2 linked regions of the Styela clava genome follow. The protein of the gene in region 2 purifies or fractionates together with the protein of the main gene of each other region. This does not show direct contact. Links are inferred from orthologs where the notes say so. Each region holds a gene or a part of one and is shown on either strand. Other genes may lie near its edges.

The links.
Region 1: the proteins of E3 ubiquitin-protein ligase RNF185-like (region 2) and transmembrane and ubiquitin-like domain-containing protein 1 purify together in Homo sapiens (affinity purification with western blotting; 3 studies listed by BioGRID and IntAct, with this or other methods). This does not show direct contact. The link is inferred for Styela clava from reciprocal best matches to the Homo sapiens genes RNF185 and TMUB2.

What each region holds. Positions count from the first base shown.
Region 1 is NC_135252.1:10,063,145-10,074,179, forward strand, and holds the start of transmembrane and ubiquitin-like domain-containing protein 1, read left to right. Parts: upstream 1-6,554; 5' UTR 6,555-6,793; intron 6,794-7,002; 5' UTR 7,003-8,655; coding exon 8,656-8,789; intron 8,790-9,550; coding exon 9,551-9,645; intron 9,646-9,790; coding exon 9,791-9,937; intron 9,938-10,083; coding exon 10,084-10,201; intron 10,202-10,647; coding exon 10,648-10,913; intron 10,914-11,035.
Region 2 is NC_135251.1:12,012,535-12,023,800, forward strand, and holds E3 ubiquitin-protein ligase RNF185-like, read right to left. Parts: upstream 4,806-11,266; 5' UTR 4,751-4,805; coding exon 4,190-4,750; 3' UTR 1,597-4,189; downstream 1-1,596. Other genes in the region: tumor protein p63-regulated gene 1-like protein, read right to left, coding at 809-903, 1,428-1,553. UniProt on the Homo sapiens protein: E3 ubiquitin-protein ligase that regulates selective mitochondrial autophagy by mediating 'Lys-63'-linked polyubiquitination of BNIP1.

The sequences.
Region 1 (11,035 bases), on a different chromosome or scaffold from region 2:
TTATTGGATTACATTTAATAACTGGATATTCTGTTTAACTGTGGATTTACTTGGATTAAAATATCATTTCAAACAACAATATCAGAGCTGCATATTTCCAGTGTATCATAGACAGCAAGACAGGTTTTGGGAGCGCGTATAAATGCATTGCAGTCATAGACTATTTGCGGGGCTATTGAACTAAGTTGGACTTTGGCTACCGTAACAATTATAGAGGATGTAAGTGATCGCTTTCTAAAACATAATTTAATAGAATAAGACAAATAGTTGAAGAGAAAAGCAATTTTTGTCCAAATACATTGAAAACAACAATATATATATAGACTGATATATATATATATATATAATTTTCGCTAGAAGGCATTTACGTTTATTTATTTTTAAAATCTCTGTGGGTTCTGAGGGATTCGTTTTTTTTTTTGTGCGATTTTGTCTTTTGTGACAGATTGAATACCCACACTACTCAGTTTCGGCCTTCTTGGCCTCCATATATTTGGACATAAATCTCATGTTTCATTTCATATATTGTTTAAGTGGGCATGTTTTCTCGGTAAGATATGTCGAGGAACGAGAATCGGAATCGATAATTTAGAAATCGAATACTTGGAAGTAGTCATACTATGCATCCTTAGTTTCTACTGAAATTGTTTGAGCAAGGAGTTTGTGATGCCAAAGAAGCTCTTACAAATGTTAAAAATGAGAGAACCGTAACTAATCCAGTAAAGTCTCTAGGAAATACTGAACTATTAGCCAGAAACTTTTCAATTATATACTCTTGCCTGGAATCTTGAAGACAGCAAAAATGTAATTAGTAACAGAGGAAAAACTACCACTGTTGTGTTCTTGTATTTATGCATATTTTAAAAAATTATATCTCACACACAAGTTTAATAAGTTCCATTGAGTATTTTTAGCTGGGGATGGAAGAATGGTGTAAAATGCTGAATTGTTATAATAAATTAAGATAGATAGATAGTTTATTTCGAAAACTCCATAACAAACCTAAATTTAAAATGGAGAATTCTGGAGGGCAAGCAAAACCTACAAAAAAGTTTAAAACATGAAGTATCTCATGTGCCTGCCCACCAGCACGCACACAAAAACACAAGCCCAATTAAATGAGGCTTGGGCCAAACTTAAAAAACAAAATACACGATAGTAATAAACTTTCGGGCTGTTGTACTCTCTTTCAACAATTACGTTGATAATGACCAATACCTACAACCTCATGCAAAGATAATGTGGGGAGTGGAATGTAATAAATTTGCGACGATAGTCATACTCATGAAGCCATGAAAGCTTTAAGAAAAACCAAGCCATGAAAAACTACACTGATTGCTAGATTGGGCATTGCGGAAAAGGTGATAAGTGGTTTAATATACAAACAAACGCAAAACCATGGCGGCAAATTCGATGTGCGGACACTCATAAAAGCAATTATTAGGAAAACACTAATCACGCGTGAGCAGGTCTGTAGCCTAATTGATACATTGACGTGGCCAACATTGTTAAAACAGTACCGGTATACACACAGAGAGAACAAATCAAAAATATGCCACTAAATGAATGTTTAAAAATGTTACACTGCAAACTATTTACACATATATAGTTGAATACTCAGTATTCAAGCGGAATTTCTAGAAATAGCAGTATATCATACTCTTCGTCACAAAATAAAATATCTGAATCAATCCCTGTTGTATTCATCTTTCGATTCTGTTATGATGTCCGTATGTTGCCTTTATGCTGCCATGTAATTTCATATTTCGGCCTTTACTTGTTGATATTCCTTAAGTGCTGGTTCATTGTTGTCAATCTAATCTTTCTGCGCCGTTCAAAAATGCGACCGCACCCGACGACTGCCAAACACAAACTTTAAATCCAATCTTTTATCCATAAACTTCTTTAATTCCGGTGGATGGGCTTTGATCATGTTAATATCACGAGATACAAATCTAATAGTAAATACCGAAACACACAGCGCGTAGCATTCTCAGTCCAACAGCATTGATTGATCTTTCATCTAACAGAGCAACAAAAACACGTCCGACCCAGACGGCAGTCTACTCGGCAGCCTCGATCACGATAGGAGAGAGATAAGATAATACAGCGATTTTGTTATTTGCACCTTAAAAGAAGAATCGCTGGGCATCGGCGTGATCTATATGTGGGCGAAGCAATGTCCTTTACCTTTGCTTGGGTATACTTAGATCTAGGATAGCAAAAGTCTATATTTGACCACAAATTGCCGATTGTGACATTTCGTAATTGGGACTAAGAGATTCCCAGAAATCAGATCTTCCGCTTATGGTGATGTGCTTGCCATTTCAATCAAATAAAACTTCTGTCCGTAACTTCTTATAGATAGGAATGACAGGCTCCCAGCATTCAGACAAAGTCTTCTTAAGAAATGTGGTTTGTATTTCAATCAAATGATCCATGTACAAATATACAGCAACTGTCTATGATGACTGTTGTATGAGCTCGAGCATGGAGGGGTTTTGCTGTAATTATCGGTATTCAAATCGTGAACATCTGAAAAAATGTGATATGCTTTACAACATAAGTCTGTCATTATTAATGATCGAAGCTATAACCAATCTTACCTTGTAACATTTGCAGAAGTAAATAAGATAACTTTCTTTCACTTTGGCATACCGGTACTTTTTGAGGGGAGGCGGACAACTCGACTACACGGACAACTCACCAGAGACAACTCGACTACCTAGAGGCCTGGTGAGTTGTCCGTCTTTTGACATTTTCTACGGTGGTGTTTTAGGTCTATAGAAATGCGTTTTTGATATTTTTAGTGCTCAAGTGTTGAGAAAAACACATAAATATGCTCTAGAAAGCATTTTTATTTGTATAAGTGGCTTATTTTGATCATGTTGTACGAATACAAATACAGTCTACAGACGAAATTGGAGTAACGTTAGCGAAGTTAGACTGTTGACTTATAGGACTGTGTTCGTTTAATTTTTTGAACTTTATTGGTATTAAATGTTTTGAATGAGCACCTTTAAATATATTAAAACCTTTATACTTCACAGTAACACTTAAATATTTATGAATGTGAGCTCCGTAGTCTATGGTTGCAGTAGTCTGCAGTCGCCCGACAGGCCGTCAACTCACCAGTCGAGCAAACGCTCTGCGACGTGACGTCATCGATGCTCGAGGTGAAGACAACTTGACTACCGAGCAACGAGAGGCAGACAACTCACTAGTCGAGCAATCGCTCTGCGATATCGATGCTCGAGGAGAAGACCTTGCTTTGTAAAACAAGAGATGCTAACTCAAGAGTTGCATAGCATTTACTTAGTGCCGACTGATATTAGTTGTAAGCCAACTCACCACGGCAAGGTTTCAGTCATAGAGTTGGAATTTCTTTTTGCAGAATAAAACCAGGAACAGATAGGCACTGTCGCTGCGCCTGGCAAAGAAACTGGGCCGAAGAATGGATAGAAGATGTTTACTTTTTGTCACGATTAATGAATTTAATATGATGTTTGAATACTAAACGTTATGGGGGAATTTAATGGATGGAAGGTTTTGTTTTCCTTTTCGTTACGAATAATGAATTTTATTTGAATACTAAACGTTTGCTGCGTTACATACTTACTCTTTGCAATACTGCGGCCCGTAGATCCTTGAACACCTTCGAAGAAGAGAGTCCACAGATAACTCTCTTTCCTTGTTCTGTTCCCAGACACGTTGCACCCTCTCGTTGGCTTCCGCATACCTGCCGTTGACACGCCCCACAACGTCCGCCTCTATCCCTATACTTACCTCGTACATTGTTGAGATTAAACTGTAAAAAGGCATATTTTTCCGAGTTATACTGTTAAAATGGCGGTGCCAACCTTCCAGATGATTGTTGGTTCTTATTTCTACGTCAAATACTGACCAATCATTGGGAGTCCAGACACTGTTGTATAGCCATGTGTTTTGAAAATATTCGGCGAAGATCTTGAGTTTGCATCTTTTCGTTCAGTGATTTGAATATGGACGTAATAAACATAGCTGGTATATAGCACAGCGCCATGGCATGCTTGATCAGGTCTCTTGTTCCAGCGTCCCTAAAACAAAAACATGTTAATACAAAAGAAGTGAAAGATGTACAAAGACATATATAAATATGGTTAACCACTCACTTGTCGCATAGGCGAGCCAAATTATTGTGACGCACATTCTTCATGATGGCCTGAGTGAAGTGATATCCATGCACGGAGATTAGATAAGGTACCAGATCGGTGATAATGAAGCCGCGCGCCGAGATTACTGCTCGGTTATCGCCGAGTTTAAAGCCTCATTATCGCCGGCCTGCCCCCTACAAACGTAAATACTCATTAGCCGAGGTCGTTTTCATCACAGTTTTATACTGAAACGAGGACGACTAACGGTATATTAACTCCACAAAAACTACGCAAGAATTCAAGATGACTACTCCAAAAATGTGACGACAACGTTACCATGAAACAGGAGGGACTCATCTGTGACGTCTGTCGAAATTGGTTTCATCGCAAGTGTTTTAATAATTCAGATGTGGCAATGACAAGGGAACAGTACAGCCTATTAAAAAAACAGGACGTAACGTTTGAGTGGAAGTACCCGGACTGCTACCAGGCCCATGACACCCATCATAACTCCAACCCGATTGTTGTATCCCAGCAGATGGAACCTAGCCGTCGGCTGGTAGACTACTCAGGCGGTGAGTTGGCTTACAACTGATATCAGTCGGCACTAAGTAAATGCTATGCAACTCTTGAGTCTGCGTTTTGCAAAGCAAGGTCTTCTCCTCGAGCATCGATATCGCAGAGCGATTGCTCGGCTGGTGAGTTGCCTGCCTCTCGTTGCTCGGTAGTCGAGTTGTCTTCACCTCGAGCATCGATGACGTCACGTCGTAGAGCGTTTGCTCGACTGGTGAGTTGACGGCCTGTCGGGCGACTGCCGTAGTCGAGTTCAGACTACTGCAATCATAGACTACTGAGCTCACATTCATAAATATTTAAGTGTTACTGTGAAGTATAAAGGTTTTAATATATTTAAAGGTGCTCATTCAAAACTTTTAATACCAATAAAGTTCAAAAAATCAAACGAACACAGTCCTATAAGCAGGGTTGCCATCTACCCAGAGCCAAAAATAAGCACGGGCGTCAAGAAGGAGATCATACACGAGTCTTCCAATTTTGATCATTAGAAGTCGCTTCGAACACGGTTGTAAGCAGCTCCGAAATTGCAAAAAGCTATGGAGTCACTGCCACACGCAATCTCTAAAGCAGGGAACTTTTTGTCGCTCGCGGGCCAAAATCAAGTGTTACGAATCTTGGCGGGCCGCACATATTTTTTCGAGAAAGTTAAAAACTGAACGGGCGGCTGATGAACCACATTATTTACACAGATTAGAAATTGAAGTTCTAGACTTTAATTAGCGAGCGAACACTGCTACAACACGTGGACTCAAGTCGTGCAAAATATTTACAAATACCATTTAATGTAACACTAATATTATTTGTTGCATTACGTTTGATACCTTTTCGAAATCAGGTGACACACTGGATAAAACCAAAATCAGAACATTTTCTACATTCACCAATCCAAGTTCTCCGAACGGAAAATTTTATATTGGTTCAGTAATTGAAAACAAAAGCGATTTTTTATAACGATGGGAAAAAGAATTCACAATGGAGAACAAGACCAACATAATAACGATCCGTAAGTTCAGTGAAGCATTGCGGGCCGATTTATTTTTGTCCGCGGGTCGGATATGACCCGCAGGTGGCCGACCCCTGATCTAATACTTTGGATTCCCGCAATGCTTATTATGTGTTGTGGTAGTATTGGGGACACTGATTACCTCCCCCTTTCTCAATGTCGCAATAGTAGTAGTTATTAGCAAATTCCTTTTCATATTCGAACAAGGACTCATGATTACGCTTACTAGTTGTCTACTAGCCATTCACGTTTCTAAGAGAAAATAAGCACGCAACTCAAAAATAAGCTCTTTTCTTAGAAATAAGCACATTGTTACTTTATAAGACGCGGGCTAGAAAATAAGCACAAATCTTAGAAATAAGCACAATATGGCAACCCTGCCTATAAGTCAACAGTCTAACTTCGCTAACGTTACTCCAATTTCGTCTATAGACTGTGAAACCGCCTCGCATTTGTTTTCGTTTGTTTCACACTTGACTGATTTTGTGATTTGCGTATTCTGCGATTGCAACATAACCTCACACATTGATGTTGCCATGTTTCTAGTATTGTTTTGTAATTATTTCTAGGTTTGTATTGGGCATAATTAATGCTGCTCAAGTAGGGTTTAGTACTAGTGTAATTTATGATATTTTCCTGATGACAACCTACCCCGATTTGCAGACTGTTAACGAATTAGAACATAGAATTATGCTAATTTGTCCTGTGTTGCTAGGCCAGCTCTCTTTGTGTTGTTGCTTATTTCTGGCAACGCTCGTTCTTTCGCTCGCTGCTTTCTGGGCGGGAATGTTGGCAGTGATTATCTGCTCTCCAGTTTTGTTAGATTTTTAGCTGTTTAAGGTCTCTTAGGAACCGGGTTTTTAAGTCATATATTTAGTAAAAGTTACCTTTGAATCTTTCCCAGCTCTATTCGCGTTTAGATGTTCGTTATTCTCAGTAGGCTAGGAAAACAGTTGCAAGTAGTTATTTCATGATATTTTGTGTGTTTATTTGTTAGATCTGATCAAATATAGAGCTAATTAAAATAATAGCTTCCAGTCAAATAATTGGTTGTTCTTTGAGTTGAAGGCTACATCGTCAAGTAAGTCTTTGATTTATCGTATTTTATGCTTTATTTAGTGATATGAAACTGCAATTTTAAGGTAAACAATTGTGCTGTATTTTTGGCTTTTTCAATTAATTTGTGATTCTAAATTGATAAATATTGTGCCTTTTAAGTGCTAATTGGTTAGATGTTTGGTAAGTTTTATTGTGTGACATATTTTGAGACTGTTTTCCATTTCTGTTTAGAAAACCGTACAAATTGACAACTGTATACTGATTCGTACTTTCAACTGTAATTGAATTTCAATCGTACGTACACTGCATTTTAAACGTACCTTTTTCGTGACAACAAGAAATTTCAAAAGGCGATTTGTACGCGTATTTTTATTGTGGAGTCTCGAAACGATTCAGAGAGCAACCGTCCGTTAACGCGTGTTGGCGCTAGATAGCGACTCCGATTTGGCGCCTACAGACTGTATTTGTATTCATACAACATGATCAAAAAAGCCACCTATACAAATAAAAATGCTTTCTAGAGCATATTTATTTATTTTTCTCAACATTCGAGCACTAAAAATATCAAAAACGCATTTCCATAGACCTTAAACACCACCATAGAAAATGCCAAAAGACGGACAACTCACCAGGCCTCTAGGTAGTCGAGTTGTCTCTGGTGAGTTGTCCGTGTAGTCGAGTTGTCCGTCAGCCTTTTTGAGCTGCTACCCGTACCACTGGCACCTGTATTCATAAGCACCTGTAGTGGACATAACGATCGTTTCAAAATTTTGTTGTTATTGTTATCATTTGTCTCCATCAACACGTTTTGAAGAAATGGCTTTTCTCTTCGAATACTGGACCAATTGCTTTGAAATTTTCAGTGGTTAAAGATAAAAATTTTTTCCAGAAGGCTATTACTTTTTTTTCGCTATGACGTCATCAAAATTATGTGACTCTACGTGTCCATATATTTGAGCATAGCTCTCTTGTTTTATTTTAGATGACAATTTTTGTCACTGTGTTGTTTTTGCAGTGAAATTGAACTAGGCCTACAGCATCACCGTTTTGCGTCAGGGAGTGTTTTTTTGTTCCATGTTCTTGTAGGAAAAGCACTGTTGTGTTACACCGTAAATATATACTGTTACACCATAAATATATACTACTACGTTACACATACACGTCTCACATTTTAATTTAGAAGGTAGAAGTTTATTGCATCCCATTATTTACTTTAATTGGCTGTTTTTGTTAAATTGTTTCCAAAGTACTGCCCGATTGTAAATCGCGTTTTTCTGTGTTTGTTTTATTCTTTTTTGGTGGGCGGGCTCGTACATTATACGCTATTTAACTTTTTTTAAGTTATGCCCGTCTCTCAGGTATCTCTGCATTTTGTTTGTCTGTTTACTTTTTGTATTGTTTATGTCAAAGAACCAAAATAAATGATTGATTGAAGTCAGACCTAGCTGCGTCGGCTTTCAGAGCAAGAAATCGCAGCCGTCACTTCTTTTTGCATCAAGTCGCAACAGGTCAAAGGTTATGAATGTCCCTAATTGGTCTTATTTTTACCAACTGGTTCATTAATTGTTTCCCACACTGTCTTGATGTTGCCTTTGTGAGAGACAAATTTAACGTTAGACATATAATAACTTGATTTTTTTTGGATTAGCCAAGCACAAAAATTCCTGTATTCAGGAAACGCAAAAGCAGATAATCTAACCACAGAGTGAAGTAACAACAACGTAGTCACGTGTTAATCAGCTGAGAAAAGTCGAGTTGTAACTACTAACTAGTGACAACTACATATACCGTATCTCGTACCGGTTTACGTTGCCAAATGCAGAAATAGGGGTTTATGAGTAGACTATAGTGAATTTTGCTTTAGTTGCATATTTTCTTCTTGACATGTCGTCGTCTTACCTGATTGACGGAATTGGCGATGAGGTAACAGTATTGTTAGGCGTTCTCGTAGCAGTTTTTGTCGTCATAGTATCGTGGTTGTCCACGAGAGTGAGCGATTCCAGTGGAACCACTGAAAGGTGAGTGACTAAGATTAATATTTTTTTTAAATCTGTAGGTTGAACTACTGTGTTCTAATATTTTGAGTTTTAAATTGGTCGAATGAAACTTGATAATTAGACTATAATACTGATGTATGAACGTTTTGCGTAGTGCAAATTTTGTAGCCATAAGTTTAAAGCTATTTTAAGGTTGCCGATGACAAGTAGCCTAGACCGAATGGTCATTTCGCGGTTATCCTGTCGATTTGGTACAAATATTTTGTGATCTTACTCACTTTCATTTATTATGCTTTATCGGAATGGCAAAGACTGGATTGTGGTGGTTTACTTCGGTTAGTTTCTGTTCCTGTGTTCTGCTAATTATAAGCTCATACCTAAATTCTGGCTGAAAAGGCGGGGCTTTTTGGCTAAAATTTGGACCTGACGCCGTGTATTATAAAAATGATCCTGCCTAGTCTACTGGTTGACAAAAACTTTGACTCCATCGCCAAGACAACATAATTTTTCTATGTAACTGATGTAAAGCCAAGCCTCCTAATTGCATTCTAAGAATGCTTAGTCAACTCAATGATTTTGAGTTCTGTTGGCAATTTTTATTTATCGTTCTGTCATTGGAAGCCTGAAATTCTGACTTTGATGCGTTTTAAAATCAGAATTACAACTCCTGAACTTTGGCACCAATAGAAATAAAAATATGATAAACCCACATTCCGCACCCCGGACAGCCTCACCAAAAATATCAGATCTCCATCAATGCTATGTTATATTCTGTTTATCAGTTTTCAAAATAGTCAGCAGACATCTGCAACTGTAGAGAATCAGACACACAGTGCATCAGCCCAACCAAATGTTCCAACAGAAGCTGTCCAGACAGGTAAAAATGTTTTCAGTTAAAAACCTATTCAACAATGAGCCAGTTCAGCAGTTAGTGTACTTGCATAAAACAGTATATTAATGACAAAATCAACATATCATTATCAGTATTGTCTTCTATACTAAATCTATTCATCTTTTTACAGAAGAATCTTCTTCAAATTCAGATGCTTCTGGGCCCACACAAGATGAGTCAGTTGTGAGCAACTCATCACCAAATGATGCTCCAGTATTAAGACATCGAATTCTTCATGATGCACAAGCATCTGCACAAACACCTCCGACACAGGAATGTAAGTCTTTTCAAAAATTATAAATTTCAACAATTCCAAAAACCATATTGAATTTTTACAAAATGTGTTATTTATTGTCTTCTATGTTCCAAAATCAGTAACTGTGATCTAATCAGTTAGATTAATTTGTTTAACTTTTTATTAAGCACCGACTTCCTCAACCGCTGAAGGTGGTGCAAGCATCACAATACGTTTGAAATTTATGGATGAAACTATACAAACTGTGAAAGCTAATCCTGATGAGACATTGGAAAATTTTATGAGGTTATTACCTTTTATAATATATTATTGGGTGTAATACCTCATTTTGTCATTATTGGGCAATGTTTAGAATTCGAATAAGATATCGCATTGTTGAAAATTGTGGAGAAATTGAAAATCTGGCTATAACAACAGTGTTGTCATTTTATTGATTGTTATTAAAACCTCTGAGGCAGTATATATTGCATTCTGTTATTTTTTTTTTATATGTCACTTATTTCACGCCTTTTGCTCTGAACAAGGCTCTGTACAAGCAGCCACTGGAGCTAAATTATTGGAAAAACCGGAATCTTCACAGTCACCATTGCCCATACAATTATTCACACCCTGGGTGGGTGTCCGAGATGTACTGATGCAGTGCCAATACAGTTAGGTCCAATGTTTCAATAACTACTGGGCCATTGTGCATTCTGTTGTTTTTGTTGAAACACCAATTTAAATTTTTACAGCCGACAATTCACCTCTGATACTCGTAATCGATATAGATTAATTTATAGAGGACAAGTTTTGAGAGATCAAAGCCGGACTTTACGCCAGTTTAATTTAGTTGGAGATACCACTGGGGAAAATCCAACTATACCAATGATTCACTGTTTTCTGTCACCTGCTACTCCTGCCAACGAAGCAGGTGTTAACATGGCTAGTAGTGCTTCACAACAAATGCAGATGGTTGCAGAAGAACTCCACATAGGATCTTTCATGCTTCCAATACTAGGCAAGTTATTCATTTGAAATTTATTTTTTTGCTTGCCATCAGCTTTGGCATATGATGAGAACAATTACTTCTACCAAAATAATATAGGGTAACGCCAAATAATTGAATCCAGCACATTTGGA
Region 2 (11,266 bases):
TTCGTAACCCCGGCTGAAAGCCACTGTTCTATAGTATAGAAGCATACAGTTGAATCATGCATAAATTTCGGTTTGGTTGGTTACCAGACCTAGTCGAATATGTGAACAGATAGCCAGCTCCATTCTTTTAAAATGTGGAAAATTTCTGTCGGCACTATGTGCCGAATAATAGAAATTATGGCAATCAAAACCAAAGAATCACAAGAAAATACCACTTGGAATAAGGGTGGGTTTCATCATTAGTATATATGTATTTGCAATGTGACTATTTGTGAAATTGTAAACACAAAAATGATCTTGAAAGTACTGCCAGAAGCAAACTGGAATACTAATGGCATATCTATAAAGTATTACCATGCAAATAATGAATTGATTTTCTAATCAATTAGAGTGAAAACCCTTCACCAAACTCAACTGTATAATAGGCTACACAAATTATTGTCATGTGTTACATCATTTGGCGCTCCAGAAGTGTGCATACCAATATGGAGGTAACTAATTTTGTTCGCCTACTTTACATCAAATTGCATAACGGGACGGTAGCCTATGGGTAGGGGGTATATTTACTTGGCTAACACAGACAGTTCTCGAACTCGTAATAGAACAAAAGTAGGGAAAATCAGAATAAAATTATGCCCTGCCCCTAACCCTAACGTGGTACACTCACGACGGGAGTACCCATCATTGAACTTGAAATAAACTAACAAAACTAAGTATAATACCCATGCACTATTGATAATAACAATCATACAATGTAAGTATTGATAAGCAATTTGGTAATATACAGTTAATTATTTAACATATTTACTCTGTTAGAAGCCATCTTCCAAGGACCAATCCATCAATTTCTTGATTCAACTGTTGGTTTTTCACATCTTCCACTGCCATGTCCAGATTATTGCCCTATGGACAAGATAAATGTTTTAGTTAATTATTAAAATAGTAAATGTGGGCTTAGAATAATGATGGTTCTTTTATGCATAGTATATTCAAAAACTTATACAATTTGGTCATTTTTTTTGGATTTTTTCTAATTACTCAAGTAACAAGAAATGAAAATTCACTAATAATAGAACATTTATGAATCAGGCCTACATTGCTTTTGATTTGTTAACAAGTCTTATGATTAAATCAAAGAAAGTCTCTCACGCAAAATTGAGACATGGTCATGATTAAGGATGTTGCTAACTTGCTATCACAGAGTTTAATATTTCGAAATTTCAACTCGCAAATAATTTTGATCCTAAATAAGATATGTTACGGTAAATAAAAATCATGGTGCATGAAGAGAAAAGCAAAATTTTAGCATAAAATTGGTAAATTTTACATTTGAAACAGTAATTTTCATATCTGAATTTAAAAAATGTTAATAACTATAATAATGAAAAAGTATGCTGAAGCCAATATACCGGGAGGTAACAACCTACCCTTGTCGCAAAAAATTTGTCTGCAACATGGTGTGTAACAATTCCTCCTCCTGGTACGGTTTCTCCATTCGGCATAACAGTCACCAAGTCTGGATTATGTGTGGTATGGTCGACAGGCTCTTGCATTTTTGTATTTTATCGATCAATTTTAAAAGTAATAATTATGAACCTATACACAAAACAAAAGAGTGACAATTGGACAATCTGGGAGAAAGCAAAAACGAAATTTTATGGACTGAAAGAGTATCAATCCTGCAATGATAGACATTTATTATAAAATCGACACTTCATTATTTGAATGCAACAATTCTAATTTCTATACATACACCAGGGGGTGCAGCCAGGATTTTTTACCGGGGGGGGGGGGTCACATTGGCATTAAAAATGCAACAAAGGTACAATGCACGGCTCAAACTGAGAATTGTGTGTCGTTACCGGCGGAACGCCATTGAATATATTCCAGTATTGCTTGTAACTCGCCTCGCAGAAATTAAAAATTACATTGCATCAAAAAAATCTTCAAACGGGGAGGTTGGGGGTTATGACCCACGTAACCACCTCCCACTAGCTTCTCCCTGACATACACTACAATCTGTAATAAGCAAGTTCGCACAAATTCAATGAGCATTAGTTAAATAAAACATTGCACAACAAATCTACTCTTAATGTAATATGAAAATGAATTGCATGGTAGCAAACCCAGTATTACCTTATGAACATATAATTCTGTACTTTCATAACAACATTTATCAAAAAAAAAATAATAAAAAACATGAACAGTATTATTATGTTATTCAGTCACAGATAATAACAGCACAGCAAGCATGAAATAGTCCTTATGCGAAATAATAGAAACATCAAAATATACTTGAACACCCTTCCGTTTACTATAACACTTGAAGATACTTTGTGTGAACCAAGGCAGAGGAGCCGTAACATTATGTTAGAGGTAAAGCTAAGCTTACCATAATTGGCTACCCAAAATTTTAGTGGCTTCAGCTCCTAATTATTTATCACATTTATACTTCTTACTCTTACAAATAACAATATTTTTAAAATTCAATTTCTAATATTAATTCAAAGTTCCGAGTTGAACTTGAGATTGATTTGCGTTGATATTTTATGGTAGTGATCAAAACAAAAAACACCAGTGGGTAGGAAGCTGGAGCCCAGCCCTGACGTGAAAAATTATCTCAGTTCTGTGTGAACCACATTGAATAATTTAGCAGTTAGCAACAATCGTTAAACTGCTAGATAAATTCCAGTTACCACCCATACATCTGTTTCAGTAATTCATCAGTCCCGGTTTGTATATTTCTTCCTACTCAGAAAAGACATGATGCAATCCATAAAAAGGCCTAACTTCAAAATAGCTAATCCATGCTAGATGCTATATTAAATCTGACCAGGTAATGGATTAGGATTTTCTGTTATGATTAACACTGACATTTGAAAATCATTACAACCAGGGCTGGCCAAAAACGAATAGCCTACCATTTGCCTACACAAAGTTCTGGATGAATTTAATTTACATATTCCCTATTGATCTCTATCATTCCTATTTATATGGATACAAAAGTTCAAATGACAAATAAAAGTGTTTTCACAAAAAAATAGAGATTTAACTTTTATTTTTTAATGTTCTCTTTTATTAAAGTGATATTGGTCTGATAATATTCGAATCGTTTTCAATCTCCTTTATGCCAAATCAGATGAACAATAAAATTGAACTAATACAAAGCAATTATGATGAGCTAGCGGTATATAATCAATACACACCGAACATTTCCTATTCATTAGGACAGAGACATACAATGAATAAAAATCGCACAATCTGGAATTCTAGTGAAATATACCCATGAATCTTATATGGTTTTTGTGAAAACGAAAAATTAATCGTAAACAGAGAAAGTGAAACAGAGAAATTGATAATGTGACAATCACTCTACAAATTCATGACTTTTTTCAATATCATGAGTTAATCTATAATTCCTATTTATATGATTACATGGGTCAAGTACCAAATAAAAGTGTTTCAAAAGGTTCCGATAAAAATAGGGTTCCAAAAGACTCAACAGAGAAAACAAAAGTTCAGCAAATCGATGTACATGTACACTTTGTGTCGAATTGCGATAGTAGTAGTAGTTTTTCTTAAGCACTATGAAGTATGAATAATATGAAACCGTTAGCTAATTGAAAAATTTGATTTGTAGGTTTTTTTTATCAAACACAAATCCAAAAATAAAGATTTGCTGTTCAATGCAAAGTTGATCGAAGAATGTGTTTGACTTAATTAACAATCAATAACAAAAAAGCACAAGGTAATAAACAACATATTTCGTATCAGCTATGTACATTAATAAAAATCGAACCCCACTGTAACTACGGTAGTTAAAAAATAATTTACGCCAAGTGACGACTATGAAGCACTATACACCATGCAAGACACTGCCTACTTTTAATATCAGATTCTCAGTTGGAGCTAGTTAACCCTAGTGTATGTTATCATTGTATGAAGCAACTCTTATCAATATGTCAATATTTTCAATTACTCGACTTCTATTTTCATTTTTTATTTCACATAATGCATAGCTATTATTATTACGTAAATAATTATAAAGTTCTCAGATTTTAATAAATGAATGTCCTTTACAATTATTCTATTTTAACATAAAATTCTTCAAAATATTTAAAAAAGTGCGGTCGTTTTTTCCCAGACTTACCGTTATAAATTAATTACGATTAAACTGACAATCACAATCTCATGCATATAATAACCAGAACATTAATATACAAGCAATTCCAAGGAAGATTCTCGACAGCATTTGTTCATCTTGATAATTAGGGTTATCTGGCCTCGGAGGGGGAGGTCGGCCGTCATTTATGTTAAAAAACGTTCCGAAAAGTCCAAAGGGAAAAGCACCAATACCGAATGACATCTGAAATCCGCCATCACCAAAATTAAATCCGTGAAATCCATTCCTATTTTCTGGCTCTGGTCTCTGAGCTTGTGGCCTTTTAGGAATCTTATTCCGTGGATCTTCCTGCTTGGTGCTACCTCGTCCGTAAAGAGGAATAACTTTGTCTCTATCGATTCCAGCTTTGCATACTGGGCATTCCTGTCGATGTGGTCTTGTTTCCAACCATTGAAGAAGACATGGCCAACAGAATAAGTGTCCACATAAACTAATGACAGCATCATTAGCTTCATCTAAACATATATTGCATTCAAATTGGCTGTTTTTATTCGCAGAAGCATTAGATGGTTCACTCGATGAATTTTCTCCATTTACTTCTTCGGATTTTGGTGTAGACTCGGCCATTGATATGTAATGTTCAGAAAGTTCTAAGTAATTAGTTTGATTCTGTCGAAAATATTAAGATGATTATGAAATGTCGTAACCTAAGCATTCGTTTTTAATAATATTTGTTCACAGTAAAAAAAAAGTAAACCTAATCATTTGCAAAAATTTACTCCTAAGTAAAGTCAAGAAAAACGACACTCATATAGATGAAAATACATAAAGTTTTTTGCTCTTGTCGCTGTGTTTAATCTTTGGCCATTTCGCTCATTTTAATGCGCATAGCCGCATTCTCTTCTCTTGCCTGATTTGAAACGTACACATTTTAGATTAAAATGGTGTTGTTAATGGAAGTGGTCATGTTTGCTCACTCAAAGGTAATAAATTAATTGAAACATGCGCGCACATACATACATCTATACATACAGACATACAATCACGCAGACAAAATAAAATCAGAAGGGAAAAAAAAAGAAAAACATTAGACCGCCATCGGGTGCGAATGTGGTATTAAACAGTGGAGTACCGGAGTAAGAAATTTCAAGACTAAAACTTGGAAAACCGGACAAACAGGATTGAATACAGACTAGCTTGTATATCATTTATACATTGGAGCTGCTTTAAAAAGATTTGCGTTGATCATTTGTTGACAGCAAGCTCCGGAATGTTGGACTTTGCTAAGACTAAAACATTTACTCCAATTTCTACGTATTCGAACCAATTTTGTAACATACAGACATACGAAGCAACGCCCAAAACTAGTTTTCATGTTTGTTGTTTAGCTTTATTTGTTTACAAAAAACAGCAGCTAATCAATTATTTGTTATTATTGGTATTCACATTTCGGCACAGGCACCGTCACATAACTATTTGTTTTTATATTCTACACAGCTTTCACTCATCAAAATTAGTAAGCTTCGCCCGTGAAATTCATTTTCTGGTGATCATGTACTTCGTTCATTAATTTATTCTAGTATGATTGTCATGATGTGTAATCATTTTCCTGTTTTGCCCATTTTCCCGACCTTCCAGTTGCCCTTGTCTGTGTTTTGTTATTTTAATTTGTGTTGTAGACGAAAGATCGAAATAAGGATAGGATTCACATATTTATCTCGGGAGAGAGGAAAGGAAACAAGACGGCTAATCATATGGCGAACCACGGCAGCACGGCCTCTCGTCCGGTTACCAGTCCAGGTCGGGTATGGGATTAGTTAGCCAGTTATTTTGTTTTCGAAGCATGGATTTGATGATGAAGGAAGCCAGGAAGCAGTAAACGACCAGCGGTTACGTGAACCACCCTATGGCGGTGAGGAGTCCAGCAATCCTCTCGCACATGATCATCCCCGCATCCGCATGGGATTCAAACCTGCGAACCCACGCAGGGTGCGGTACCGTAAATCAGAGATGTGGTGGCGAGTGTATTCCTAACACTTAGCACGATGTGCCACAACGTCGAAGTAAAATTGTACCGCACCGTATATTAAGATACCGGTACCGGTACCGGTATAGACCTACTATTACTGTATTACTTCTGCACTTTAGTACCGGTACTTGGAAAAAGAGAAATAGACAAACGAAACAAAACAAAGAAAGAAAATACAAATTGGGTCACACCATATTCCAGTATTCGGCAGGATGCCAGTATTCAGGTACCGGTACCGTAATACAGTACGGTGCCGGTACCGGTACAGTACCGGTATTACCGTAATACCTAATCTTGTACCGGTAAGGATTGTCGTTACCGGTACCATAAATCTGTAAATGCTGACGGCTTCCTCCACCACCAAGTCCATGCTTCCGAAAAACAAACAATACAGTAAAACTAATCCCATACCCGACTTGGAATGCTAACCGGACGAGAGGCCGTGGTTCGCCATATGCATAAGCCGTCTTATCGGCTTTCCTCTCCCCCTGGATAAATATGTAAATCCTATCCTATCCTGACCAAAACCACGCTTGGGATTTGCCAAATATCCAACTGAAATATTATACGAATCATCGACACACAATCTGAACCTTCAATCACAGTTAACAATCTTACAGATTCTTAGATATGAACAGGATGAAAGCGAGCAGTCGCAGGCATGTGATCAACAACACGTCATAAATTCACAAAAATTGATCACGGTCTGCTCGACAAGTAGAATCACATGAAAGACAGTCATCACTGAGTTTTTTGGTCATTATTGGACACGAAATCTAGATAAGATAGACTTTTCCCCGGTCCTTCCTTGACCCCTGAAATATTCTCCCTGTACTTTGGTTGAGCCTGGCTGGATGTTTGTGACCTGTCGGATATTGGATTAAGTTAGGGTTGCCATATTTTCGTGACATCAAAGCAATGGACCTTTCCCCGAGCATGGACTTCCTTGTTTACTTCGTGACATTGGCCAATCAGCAAGATGCAAAAAGTGACGTAACAATGCCCCCTTTTCGCATTCGCTCAGACACTTTTCTCACTCAGACAGATTTTCAAGCGTGATTGTAAACATTACCTCGTTTTCGCGTTTTTGAACTCTATTCGTTAGTTTTCAGTTGTGTTTTGGGAACTTAAATAAAAATCAGATAATTCAATTCAATTCAATGTTAGTGGAAACAAATGGAATACAAAAATTAGAAACAATCAACATCCTAATTGATGGACAACGAAATAATAGACTACTTTGGCATTGCTGTACAGGCTACCCAAGATTCCAATTTTACATATTTGCTTTGCAAAGAACTAAGGAAAAAGAGATGGACAGGCATTTTCTATGAAACATTGCACCTAGCACACTACAGCACATCACAACGTCGGATTTTATTTACAAAGAGGAAATCAACCAAAAGACATTTCGATTTATTTATTACTCATTCTGACACTGCTTTTATCTAACTCACTAGTTCGCACTTGTTTACGCCAATTTAATAAACACAGCCCGAATCATGTCCATTTCGACGTAAACAGTTTTAAATTAGAACCTACGCACCTGCATTTTGTTTGTAACACAAGTTAGACGCCCGGACGTTGGAACGATAACACGTTCGTGTTTTTATCTTTTTTTTGTAATATGTTTGTGAGTGTAATATCATGGGTGAACAGGCACATGTATTTATACGTGTTTTAAACCCTACTCGAGGTTTTGCCTGTTTTCCCGATTTCCCATTATTCTGTGTGTTTGTTTTATGTGTTCATTATTTGTTATGTGTATGTTTTTTTGGGGAAATCAAAATAAAGATTATTATTATTATTATTATTATTATCACTCTGTCTTTCTAGGAGTTTTAATTTAATTGCAGTAATAAAAATTAGGCTGTGATAGACTAGCCTGAAATTCTTTACCGGTACTTTTAAAAAACAGATTGTTGTATGCGATGAATCATAATGATGGTTTGAAACACATACCCCATTTTACAGACGCCAACTCGCAAAAGCACTCTTGAAATAGCCTTGACAATTTTGCAATGGTAAAGTATAGGGAGAATTTTCCGAGGGTCAAAGGTCGGGGAAAGGTCCATAGACATCAATCATGATGGCCATGGGCCGAAATCTGTAAAGCGCTTAAAAATCGAATTCGTGGTGACCCTCGAGGGGGAACCTAAATTTTGGTGGGTCAAAATGCTAAAAGCCTAATTTACTAAATATAAAAAATTGACATCTCCAAAGTGGAGCATTACGTCACAATTAACGATGACGTCAATTGCCCTTTCAACCCATATATACCATATAATATTCTACTTAAACCTGAGATTTGTACGTACAATACCTTCTATTTTTTTAGCTTTAAATTTTACATTAGGGGCCTACATTTACATCCCCCCCCCCCCCCCCCCACGGCTGTCTTCATTGACTATATTGTCATCGAAAGTTCATGCGACAAAACGTTGAAGTTATTCAATTATGTAACACGATAAATACATCTGCTACAGATTATTACATTAATAAAATTTGCACAGAAATATGAATAAGTTACTCGTTAAATCTTGTATCCATTGATTATGTTTGTTAGCTTCATTTAAAATTCGCCTTTCCGGTTCGTCATGAAAGCGCTCCGTTAAATCTCCCACGTGTCAGAAGCCTAAAATCGACACCGGTATTTTTTTGTTCTTCGTACTTTTTATGTACAGTGGTTATTAATATTTCTCTGTTTATACCCGAGGCCGTAAGAAAACAGTCAAGAACAGTATAATATTCCACGGCTTTCCTTGGCATCCAGTAAGATATGAACCTGATGTGAGCCTACAGGAGGTCACGATACCCGCAACAAAAGCACGGGCCGCAGAGATCTTTTCTCGATTACAGTATACCCAGCGGGATTTCGTGCCTGATTCCAAATCAAAGATGTGTTTAGTTTGTTCCCAAGTTCTTTTCAATACTCACTGCGGACATACGTACTGCAGAAACTTCCTGATGCCTCGTTTGCCTTTTATATTGGAAACGAAACAGAAGCAAAATTCTCACTCGTGTTAATTGTGTCTGAGTATGATTTGGCATGGACCTGCTTTCTTTATATAAAATGTTTTCTGTGTGCTTTTTTACCCATAGACGAACAGTGAGTGCCCGACGTTGTATTTATTGTGCATATATATGTTATTATTTTATGTTTAATTCATGAAATATTTTGCCAATCCTCGAGTACATTTTAATCAATTTCACCGGCCCGTCAGGGTGAAAAGATTGGGAACCTGCTCTAGATGAAGTTGGGACAGACTATTTATTACCACAGCTTATGGCGACCCACTTAACTTTAATTTGATTTTTTTTATGACATAACACAGCAATGGCTAATCATCGCAAAACTAACGTGTTTCCTCGAAATGAAGACCTAGTCTGAAAATAAGATAATAATTTGAATTTTCAAAATGATTTTAATTAAACCCTACCCTTAAAATAAATTTAAAATGTGTGGAAGAGGAAAGGTTCATTGGCCCGAGGTAAGATAAAGATCACACCACTGTTCAAGATTGTGTGATATCACAATTATGATATTTTTCACTTGATTTTTGTATAGGAAATACAAATAAAAACAATAGATGTCGGTTTTTATATGATGTTTAGTGAAAATCTTGTGATTTTCTACAATTCAAATTTTATTTTTGATAAATGAACACAAAAGAGCTCTTCCAAAAAAAATAGTGTTATTCTTCAAAAAAAAATAAATCTAAATCCTGTCTAAATTTCGGGGAAACACGATAAGAAGTGCTGTATAGCGTACAAAACTGCTATGCTTGAAAAAGCCACATGGTCATTCTTTGTCTAGCAATATTTTGTTACTTTGAGAAGATCGTGAAAAGGAAATTTTCACAGATTAGAATTTTAATTTAATTTCTTTTGTTTTTTAGAAGATTTATTACAACAATATGTTGGTACCATCTGGTCCATTCATAAAACATGATAAAGTTTAAAACAACTTAATTATGATTTTACTGTAATAAAACAACTAAATGATATTACTTAGCTTGAAACATACGTCTGTTATAGAAATACAGTTTATTAAAAAATTTCCCCCAATTTGCTCAGAAATTTTGCAACACCATATTGCGTTTTTTAAATTGAGTTACTGATATATCTTTGTATAAATAAAACGGGCAATTTATAATAATTTCCGCTTTGATTCATTAGTTATATATTCCATGAAAAATTGAGTCTGGTATCAGTTAATCTGTTTTATTGCATAATAATTATTGGATAGACCAGGAGCTGCCAATATATTGATGACATGAGTTTTCGTCGAAATATTTCAAGTTATTCAATTATGTAACACGATAAATACATCTGCTGCAGATTATTACATTAATAAAATGTGCACATAAATATGAAGTTACTCATTAAATCTTTTTATCCATTGAAAATGTTTGTCAGCTTCTTTGTTTCCCCATAAAGTTCTTAGATTGCAATAGTTTTATCATGCCAATCAGTATAACTTATGTACGATCGTTTCATCAAATGATTTTTATGTATATTTTGTATGTAAGTTCGATCAAAGAGTCAAATCTTGTTGTTGTATTCATGTACACGTTAGTGAACGAAACCATCGTTTTGCATTTTATGCTGGCACTATTCTTCTTCTAGTTGTTCTTTGTCACAGAAAAAATCGCCTTTCTCTTTGATTACTGGAACCATCGCTTTGAAATTTTCAGTGCTCAAAGATTAAATTTTTCTCTAGAAGGCTATTACTTTTATTTATTTCAAATATTCCGGTGAGCTATATGGGATTTTTTTTTGTGTGCCATGACGTCATCGACATCTGCCACTAGGTGGTGTCCATATATTTGAGCACAGCCCTCTTGTTTATTAGATTATTATAAATCGAATATCTAATACTAGCTACAAACCGCGTCCAATTCATGGTAACTAGTAAAAAGTACTCAATATTTATTTATACGAATGTAATCAGAAAAAATATTTCATGGAATAATACAAACATCTGTAATCATTATTAATGAAACATCTGCTAACACACAGGAAAGAGAAAAGTATAAAAATGCGAATGTTGTGGACAGCCCACACAGTCGATTTCAGTCTACCAAACAAGACAACTTCAAATCGAAGAAAAA